Linked DNA regions of Saccharomyces cerevisiae S288C. The main gene of each other region encodes a partner of the protein of the gene in region 2 in a complex. Each region holds a gene or a part of one and is shown on either strand. Other genes may lie near its edges.

Region 1 (4,597 bases), on a different chromosome or scaffold from region 2:
GGCAGAATACTTGTTCCAACGTATTGATGAAAAGAAAATCGATGAATGGAGAGCCAAATATGGTGGTCAACAAGTGTAAGGTTCATCGGAAGCATTTTTTTTCCTCTCTTTTCCCTTTCAATCTTCACATGATAAAAGTGTATCAATTAATATATAGATTTTACTCTGATATAAAAACAAGTTTAAAAAACAATTCTCCCGCTAACACGTTTATACCCTTTCTTTTAGTTGAGTAATTGTGTAGTGTTAAGCTGAGAATATTCATGATTTGATTTCTGATAAATAACTTCTGCTTTATAATAACAAATGTTTAACGTGTTAGCGCCATAATTATATAGAATTGAGGGAAAAAGAAACTGAAAACCAAAAATACCCTGCGTCGCTTGAAATGAGAACAGCACAAATCAATTTTAAAGGAAAAGGTTTCAAAGAAGAATGGCAGCCAACTCTGGTCTCGACTCAAAAGTTGAATATTATCGGCTTCAAGAGAATGAAATTATTAGCGCTGTATCAAGTGAGGATGCAGATCAAAATGATGCGGGCTTTCGATTGAGTACCATCCATTTGCATTTGTTCCATGGATTGAAATTTGCCGCTCTATTGTTCACAGTGGTGCCTGTATTTATAATCCTCGACAGTATGAAGATCATTTTTCAACGCAAACGTAGGTTTTGCCTTGACCATGTCAACAGAAGTTTTTTAAGACAAAGTTCTTGGATCCTCGATGAACGCATCTGTCAATACGTGCTCAATCCTTTATTTGTTTGTTTATATCCTTCTACATTTTCTAGTCCAACATATGTCAAATGCAACATTCCTATAGAAGATCAGAAATCTCCAGAAAACAATATTTTCCAAGACCATCAATTAAACGCACCCAAAATAGTTAGCACAAAGTTTTATCAATATGTTATGCCGGAAGGATTTGACCCCACGACAGATCCAGTTTTAGTATTCTATCATGGGGGTGGTTATGCTCTTAAATTGACGCCTACGTCGTTTTCTTTCTTGAATAATATGCGAAATGCCTTTCCTAAAATGGCCATTCTTGTACCAGATTATACCGTTACAGCTACCGATGACCAGTCGAAAAAGTACCCTCTGCAAATTTTACAAAATGTGGCCATTTTTGATTACGTTGTTAAGACTATGGGGTGCAAAAATGTAGTGATTATGGGGGATTCTGCTGGTGGCAATGCTGTTTTGAACATTGTTTTATATTTAAGAAAGTGTCACAGAGAAATATACCCGAAAAAAGTCATAGCCATAAGTCCCTGGGCCAATGCCACTTTCTTCCACGAGGGAGAAAAGGAATATATGCAAGGAACACAAGAATGGGATGGTCTATGTTTGAAGAGTCATTCGATGTTTGGGCGAATGTTTGTAGGAAACAACCCAAACGTCGATTTTACCAGCGACCCTTTTGTTAATATTGAAAAGAATTTCGAAACTAAAATGTGGCAAGATATTCTGAAAAAGTGCTCTGTGATGATTACTTATGGTAGTGATGAGTTGTTGAGCTTTCAAAACAAGATCTTGGCAAAGAAAATGAGTGACGCTAGCGAGGGATGTAACCACTTTACCGCCAAAAATGTGCTGGTTGAACACCAAGGTTATCATACGGGCCCAATATTAAACTACTCTCGTAATATGGATCGCTGGACCAACATACCATCTATCGCTCGCATTCTTGAGTTTATGCAATCCTGAATTTGTCATAATGACAATTACATAACCCCTTTTATATACATAAATATTTGGGTCAGCACAAATTTATTTTGATTTTCCATTATTTTAGCAGCAACAAGGTTGAAAAAATCGCCGGCGCATCACCAACTTGAAGGACAAAGATAACCTTACTTGAAATCAAATAAGTGATGAATACGACAGCGGAAAAGGTTATACGCTTTGCTCATTATGACGCAAGAATTCATTGATAAAGTATCTTCCTACCTGACTCCTGATGTGGACATTGCACCTATTTCTCAAGGTGCAGAAGCCATTGTTTTCACAACGACTACTCACCCATATCTCCCAAGAGCAAAGGATTCTCATCAAAAGTATATTATCAAATATAGGCCACCAAAGCGTTATAGACATCCACAAATAGACCAGGCACTAACAAAACATCGTACGTTGAATGAGTCGCGTTTATTGGCCAAATTATACTTGATTCCAGGGCTATGTGTCCCTCAACTGATAGCGTGTGATCCATACAATGGATTCATTTGGTTAGAGTTCCTTGGAGAAGATCTTCCCGGAGGGCACGGTTTTAGTAACCTAAAGAACTTCCTTTGGATGCATGACCAAGATCCATATAGTGATCTTGTAGCAACTACACTACGGAAAGTGGGGCGCCAAATTGGGTTGTTGCACTGGAATGACTACTGTCATGGTGATTTGACAAGTTCTAACATTGTTCTCGTGCGAGATGGTGCGAGATGGACGCCTCATTTGATTGATTTCGGTCTGGGCTCAGTTTCAAACCTGGTCGAAGATAAAGGCGTCGATTTATACGTCTTAGAGAGAGCTATTTTAAGTACACATTCGAAGCATGCGGAAAAATACAATGCTTGGATCATGGAGGGGTTCGAAGAGGTCTATCGTGAACAAGGTGCGAAAGGTGCCAAGAAACTGAAAGAAGTTACCAAAAGATTCGAAGAGGTCAGGTTGCGTGGTCGTAAGAGAAGTATGCTAGGATAATATAAATGCTAGCGTACTGCCTGTATATCGCTGCACATAATATGTATCTATAATTTATATTAACGTACATAACTTTTAGGTATGTTACCATCAAAGCGTGTCCGAGTTATTGAGATTTTGACAAATTCAGACAAATCATTTTTGAAGAACCATATATATAAATATATAAAGAAAAGAAAGGTAAACCAAAGACAGCAAACAATCGAAAAGTGGACAACCAGCAATGGTAGATTCAATTCACCGTATTGCATCGGCGTTGGATACGGCCAAAGTAATAACGAGGGAAGCTGCCGCGGTAGCCACCTCTAAGCTGGGTGAATCCTCCTATACTTATTATTCTCAAAACATCAATCCTCAACAGTTAGTCACCTTGTTAAATTCTAGGAACTCTAGAGAAGTTAGAGATGCAATGAAGAGAATAATATCTATAATGGCTTCCGATGATGACTCTATTGACGTTCAATTATACTTTGCTGATGTTGTAAAGAATATCACCACTAATGACACCAAAGTGAAAAGACTTATTCACCTGTATTTACTTAGATTTGCAGAAAATGACCCAAACCTGACCCTGTTATCTATTAATTCTCTTCAAAAATCATTGTCTGATTCGAATTCCGAACTGAGATGCTTTGCTTTGAGTGCCCTTTCTGACATGAAAATGTCATCATTAGCACCTATAATTTTGCATACTGTCAAGAAATTGGTTACAGATCCATCTGCAATGGTTCGTGGTGAAGTCGCCTTGGCCATTATCAAATTATATAGGGCTGGAAAGAATGACTATCATGAAGAATTGTTGGATATTCTGAAAGAATTAATGGCAGATACAGATCCTAAGGTGATATCCTGTGCTGTCCTAGCTTACAAAGAATGTTATGCGGATCACTTGGAGCTATTGCATGGACATTTTCGCAGATATTGTAGAATAATTAAGCAACTAGATTCGTGGTCACAATCATATTTAATTGAGCTGCTAATCAAGTACTGTAAGCAGTATTTACCAAAACCAACTGTGGTCGATAAATCATCAGAAGGTTCCCCAAGGAGTTGTCCTTTACCAGATAAATACAACGAGATTGAATACCCATCTTACGAGGTGGTAAATGACCCTGATTTAGATTTATTTCTACAGAGTTTGAATTGCTTAATTTATAGTTCCAACCCTACAGTGATTTTATCGTGTTGCAATGCGCTATATCAGTTAGCTTCACCATTGCAGATGAAAAATACTAAATTTATTGAAGCATTGGTTAGAACGGTAACCATGACAGAAAACCAAGGTAACAAAGAAATGCTTTTACAAGCAATTCACTTCTTATCGATCTTAGACCAGACACTATTTTTACCCTACACCAAGAAATTTTACGTTTTCCCCAAAGATCCTATTGTGGCATCAATTTGGAAGATCCAAATTTTGTCCACGTTAATAAATGAATCAAACGTTAAAGAAATATTCAAAGAATTGAAATATTATGTTGCCAGTGCTCATTTCCCAGAAAATGTTGTTATTATGGCGGTTAAGTCATTATCTCGATGTGGCCAATTGTCAACGAGTTGGGAATCACATGTAATGAAGTGGTTAATTGATCATATGGAATCCCACAACCTCTCTGCTTCTGTCCTAGATGCATACGTGAATGTTATCAGGATGCTGGTGCAAAAAAATCCTACAAAACATCTTCGCATAATCTTCAAGCTTGCAGATTTATTAACAGTTCAAACGAGTTTGGCTGATAATGCTCGTGCAGGTATTGTTTGGTTATTTGGTGAAATTGCCTCGATTGAATTTAAGATATGTCCGGACGTTTTGAGGAGGCTAATCCAGAATTTTTCAAATGAGGGTCCTGAGACAAGATGTCAGATCTTAGTGTTATCAGCAAAACTGTTGTCA
Region 2 (5,865 bases):
TTTGTTTCTTATAAATGTTGCTGTCCTTGGTCTGTTCTTTTCTACTTTTGTTTTGTTGAGGACAATAAGAAAACAAGACTTTGTATACAAGGAATTCAAAAATCAATCTAGGAGAAAAAACATCGTCTCATTGACATTCATTTAAGTGGACTTCACCTTCATCTTTATATGTCTCATCCAGAGCGAATTCCGGAAGAAAGGTGTGTTGCCCCAACTATGCGCTTATCATGTTTAATTTACTATGAGGAGGTAAATGGCCGGTTGCTCCAGAAGATAAGCTAATCGGACGTAAGAAAAAGCATCCAAACTGACATTTAACAATCTTATCAGTTACCAAATCAAGTTCCCCGTTATCGCACTCGAGAGATATGGGCGATGTGACTTTGCTGCATGAGGTCAATGGGTAGATTAGTGAGGCTGCCTGATAGCGGCACGGCACCAACGACCCCTTATCAAAAGGAAATGGTATAAAAAAAAATAAATAATAATTATTAATAAAAATATCACTGATTACGATTCTAGTGAGCAGATAAGCGATCGGCTGAAAAAAAAAGTCCTAAAACAGATATCATGATGAAAAAAACAACCATAGATTCCACCGGATCAGTGAAAAAGTAATCAACGGACCTGTGGAAGGTCGGAATGAGTCGCCGACGGAACTCATGCTGCCCCTATTCTCCTTTGTGTCTGGTGTCAGGTCGATCTGCACAGCGTAATGATACTTCGACTAGTCAGAACGCAACATATTGTCCTTGGCACTGGTGTGTCTAATCTATTGTTGTAGGTTACGTAAGCAGGGGCAAGACACCATCTGATGGGTTGAAAAGAATGTGTAAGTATTAGAACCTTAGTTCAAACAGTAAAAAATACAGAGAGCTGTGTCTAATTTAATCATGTATGTTCTGTGTTGATTTATCTATCAATGCTTTAGTGCTTCGTAATAGTACAACTTCAGAGTGAGTATGAGAAAGTTTCTTTTAACTTTTGGCCCAGGATTTTTTGCCGGCCGGGCAACGCAATGTGTTCTCTAAATTGGGTAGTGATGATTTTATATACATCAGGTCAAACATAAACCAAGCGACAGATTTGTCGAAGATATTCGACGAGGTATTTTTTGATTACTTGACCCAGAGCGAGGTGTAAATGATGTATTTCACACGGATGGAACGCCCGCAAGAGTCTACTAAGCAAAACATGATGTTGAAATATCATCTGTTTAGTAATATTCATATTGCTAGTATACTATCATATGCGGTGTAAGAAGAGGACATAAGGTTGAAAAATAGTCATCAATCTAATGAAAGCTGAAATGCAAGGATTGATAATATAATAGGATAATGAAACATATAAAACGAAAGCAGAAAATAATCGTAGTATTATTATGTAGAAATATCGATTCCATTTTGAGGATTCCTATGTGCTCGAGTACAATTTCTAGTATATTCTGTGTATGTATATTATAGTCTTTATCATCAATGGCATCCCAACAATTATCTTAAAATTCACCCATTTGTCAAGATAATGGTTGATTCTTATTTAGACACAATAAAAAAACTTGAAGACATCTGCTTCTGAGCTGTAGAGGTACCAATTCGACGAAATATAAATATTTAAAACTAAGAGAAAAAATCCAACAAATAACGTTCCGTGATAGTTTAATGGTCAGAATGGGCGCTTGTCGCGTGCCAGATCGGGGTTCAATTCCCCGTCGCGGAGATTTTTTATTTTGCTTTTTATTCCTCCTGTAATATCGCTTTATACGGAAAAACTGAATTCTTTCATTATGATGAGTTCGAGAGTAACCATTTTTACTTCGTGCAACGATGCATATATTTATCTTTTACGTGAAGGGAATTCCCAAGCGTTCCCTAATGCAGTCGGGAGCAAAATGGTCAACTTGAACACTATCCCACCCAAAAATGGCAGGGACTACTACATTGCGCTTGGACTTGAAGGTTCTGCAAATAAACTGGGCGTTGGTATAGTTAAGCATCCGCTTCTGCCTAAACATGCCAACAGCGATCTATCTTATGATTGCGAAGCTGAGATGCTTTCTAATATTAGAGACACATATGTCACACCTCCTGGGGAGGGATTTTTGCCTCGAGACACGGCAAGGCATCACAGAAATTGGTGCATAAGACTCATAAAACAAGCACTGGCCGAAGCTGACATCAAAAGCCCGACACTAGACATTGATGTAATTTGCTTTACCAAAGGTCCCGGCATGGGGGCCCCTCTGCATTCAGTTGTCATCGCCGCCAGAACGTGCTCCTTACTGTGGGACGTGCCACTGGTGGGAGTAAACCACTGCATTGGTCACATCGAAATGGGGAGAGAAATCACTAAAGCTCAAAATCCTGTGGTACTGTATGTAAGTGGTGGAAATACACAAGTTATTGCATACTCGGAAAAAAGGTACCGTATCTTTGGTGAAACGCTTGATATTGCTATCGGTAATTGTCTTGATAGATTTGCAAGAACTCTGAAGATACCTAATGAGCCCTCGCCTGGCTACAACATCGAGCAGTTAGCTAAAAAAGCCCCTCACAAAGAAAACTTGGTAGAACTTCCCTATACAGTAAAGGGGATGGATCTTTCGATGAGTGGTATATTGGCTTCCATCGATTTACTTGCCAAGGATCTATTTAAGGGCAATAAGAAAAATAAGATCCTATTCGACAAGACAACGGGCGAGCAAAAAGTCACTGTAGAGGATCTTTGCTACTCTCTGCAAGAGAACCTATTCGCCATGCTAGTTGAAATAACAGAAAGAGCTATGGCTCACGTTAACTCCAATCAAGTTTTGATCGTAGGCGGTGTTGGTTGTAACGTGCGATTACAAGAAATGATGGCGCAAATGTGTAAAGACAGGGCCAATGGGCAAGTACATGCTACAGATAATAGGTTTTGTATCGATAACGGAGTTATGATTGCCCAAGCAGGACTACTAGAGTATAGAATGGGTGGGATCGTGAAGGACTTTTCTGAAACTGTTGTTACGCAGAAATTCAGAACCGATGAAGTATACGCAGCCTGGCGTGATTAACGATTTTTGTTACAGTTAGCCTAATGTTCACACTACGAATATATATATATATTTATATATGCCATACACCTTACATTTACAGCTCAGTGTATAACCTTGTGGAAGCGCGAAAATAAGCAAGAGACATTTGAAAATAATCAATAAACAAAGCTCAAAAAAATTAGATCATCACCTAACAAAATAAGACGTGGCAATTACAGAATGGGGGAAAGCTTGGATAGATGTATAGATGATATTAATAGGGCGGTGGACTCTATGTCCACACTCTATTTCAAGCCACCAGGAATTTTTCATAATGCCATCCTACAGGGAGCAAGCAACAAGGCAAGCATTAGAAAAGACATTACTAGACTAATAAAGGACTGTAACCACGACGAGGCGTATCTTCTGTTCAAAGTCAACCCTGAGAAACAATCCGTTTCACGTAGAGACGGCAAGGAGGGAGTATTCGACTATGTTATTAAACGAGATACGGACATGAAAAGAAATAGAAGGCTGGGCAGACCAGGGGAAAAACCGATCATCCATGTGCCCAAGGAAGTATATTTGAACAAAGATCGTCTTGATTTGAACAATAAAAGGAGAAGAACCGCCACTACAAGTGGCGGTGGCTTGAACGGTTTTATTTTTGATACCGATCTTATAGGATCCTCTGTCATTTCAAATTCAAGTTCAGGTACATTCAAAGCATTATCAGCCGTGTTCAAGGATGATCCGCAAATTCAAAGGCTCCTATATGCCTTGGAAAATGGAAGCGTGCTCATGGAAGAAGAATCCAATAACCAAAGAAGAAAAACCATCTTTGTCGAGGATTTCCCTACTGATTTAATTCTTAAAGTTATGGCCGAAGTAACAGATTTATGGCCACTAACAGAGTTCAAGCAGGATTACGACCAATTGTACCATAATTATGAACAACTTTCTTCCAAATTGCGCTTCATCAAGAAAGAAGTTTTGCTTCAAGATGATCGCTTAAAGACTATGTCACAGTACCATCCTTCTTCTTCTCACGACGTTGCTAAGATTATTCGAAAAGAAAAAGATGAAATTAGGCGGCTAGAAATGGAGATAGCCAACTTGCAAGAGTAGGGGAGCACTTCTCCTCAAGAATAGATATTTCCTTTGTCCTAATTGCATACATAGGCCACTGCAAATCATATAATTATGTATTACCTTACATCTAAATGTATAAAACCAACTGAGCGGATCCACCATGGGTCTGTCTCCTGTTAAAGCATGTAGCTTCATGTTTCTCACATAAACTTTCCTCATCGTAATGGAAAAAAAAAATAGTCATAAAAAAAAAACTAACCATGAATGACATATAAGATTACCACGAGCGAGAGTAAAAAAGAGTATCTCTATATGGGTTCGGGCGATACTAGAGGAGAAAGCTCTCTGGTAGCTAAACCAATCGAAATTATACTTAATAAGCTACCACATGCCATACTAGCGCAACAACAATTTCAAAAATATATAACGAGCCCCATCTACAGATATCTTTCCAAACTTCTACTGTTCAGAGAGGTGGCTTGGCCCGAAAGTACAAAAGATACCCAGAAAGGACAAGTAGGGATATTTTCCTTTCAAAACAATTATGCAGACTCTGCAACAACTTTCAGAATACTTGCTCATTTAGATGAGCAGCGATACCCGCTACCCAACGGTGCCGCTGAAAAGAATTTACCTTCTTTATTTGAAGGATTCAAAGCTACCGTTTCCATCATTCAACAGAGACTGTTGTTAGACAATGTAGACGGGGCCACGAATAGTGATAAGGAAAAATACGTTCAATTGCCGGATATTAATACTGGTTTTGTGAATAAAACGTACTCTAGAATTGACCTAACACATTTACTTGAGGATGTAGAAACTAACGTGGAAAATCTGTCAATCAATAAAACGTTAGAGATGGATGAGTTGACCAGATTAGATTCCATGATCAACGAACTAGAATCCAGGAAATTAAAAATCCTGGAAAGGGTTAAGCACATTGATAGTAAGTCTACCAATCTTGAGAATGATGTAACACTGATAAAGGATAGAATAAATTTTATCGAGGAATACAATTTGGAAGCTGATCGTGAACAGAGCTTACGGAAGCAAATGGAAGAAGAAAGATCATCTGAAGCGTCGTCCTTCACGCAAAATGAAGAAGCCATATCGTCGTTATGTGATGTTGAAAGTAAGGATACGAGATTAAAAGATTTTTACAAGATGCCCCATGAAAAAAGCCACGATAAAAACAGGCAAATTATCTCAGAAACATATAGCCGAAATACCACGGCTTTCAGAATGACAATACCCCATGGCGAACATGGAAACAGCATAACCGCATTAGACTTTGATACACCATGGGGAACCTTGTGCTCATCAAGCTACCAAGATCGTATAGTAAAAGTGTGGGATTTGAACCATGGGATACAAGTTGGAGAGCTGCCTGGTCACCTTGCTACTGTTAATTGCATGCAAATAGATAAGAAAAATTACAATATGTTGATTACTGGAAGTAAGGATGCCACTCTGAAGTTATGGGACTTAAATCTGAGTAGAGAAATATATTTGGACCATAGTCCATTGAAGGAGAAGACAGAAGAAATTGTTACACCATGTATCCATAATTTTGAGTTACATAAAGACGAAATCACAGCCCTGTCTTTTGATTCTGAAGCTTTGGTTAGCGGATCTAGGGACAAAAAAATATTCCACTGGGATTTAACGACGGGCAAATGTATTCAGCAACTTGACCTTATCTTCACACCTACACATAGCGACATTAAAATGCCTGCACGTTCATTAAACAATGGTGCATGTTT

What was found.
Region 1: KAE1 (region 2) and BUD32 share a complex: the UniProt entries of both Saccharomyces cerevisiae proteins name them as parts of the EKC/KEOPS complex.

The regions. Positions count from the first base shown.
Region 1 is NC_001139.9:1,015,080-1,019,676, reverse strand, and holds BUD32 (serine/threonine protein kinase BUD32), read left to right. Parts: upstream 1-1,917; coding exon 1,918-2,703; downstream 2,704-4,597. Other genes in the region: methionine--tRNA ligase MES1, read left to right, coding at 1-79; SAY1 (steryl deacetylase), read left to right, coding at 436-1,710; APL6 (AP-3 complex subunit beta), read left to right, coding at 2,927-4,597. UniProt on the Saccharomyces cerevisiae protein: Component of the EKC/KEOPS complex that is required for the formation of a threonylcarbamoyl group on adenosine at position 37 (t(6)A37) in tRNAs that read codons beginning with adenine.
Region 2 is NC_001143.9:509,183-515,047, reverse strand, and holds KAE1 (tRNA N6-adenosine threonylcarbamoyltransferase), read left to right. Parts: upstream 1-1,888; coding exon 1,889-3,049; downstream 3,050-5,865. Other genes in the region: SPC34 (Spc34p), read left to right, coding at 3,251-4,138; CAF4 (Caf4p), read left to right, coding at 4,415-5,865. UniProt on the Saccharomyces cerevisiae protein: Component of the EKC/KEOPS complex that is required for the formation of a threonylcarbamoyl group on adenosine at position 37 (t(6)A37) in tRNAs that read codons beginning with adenine.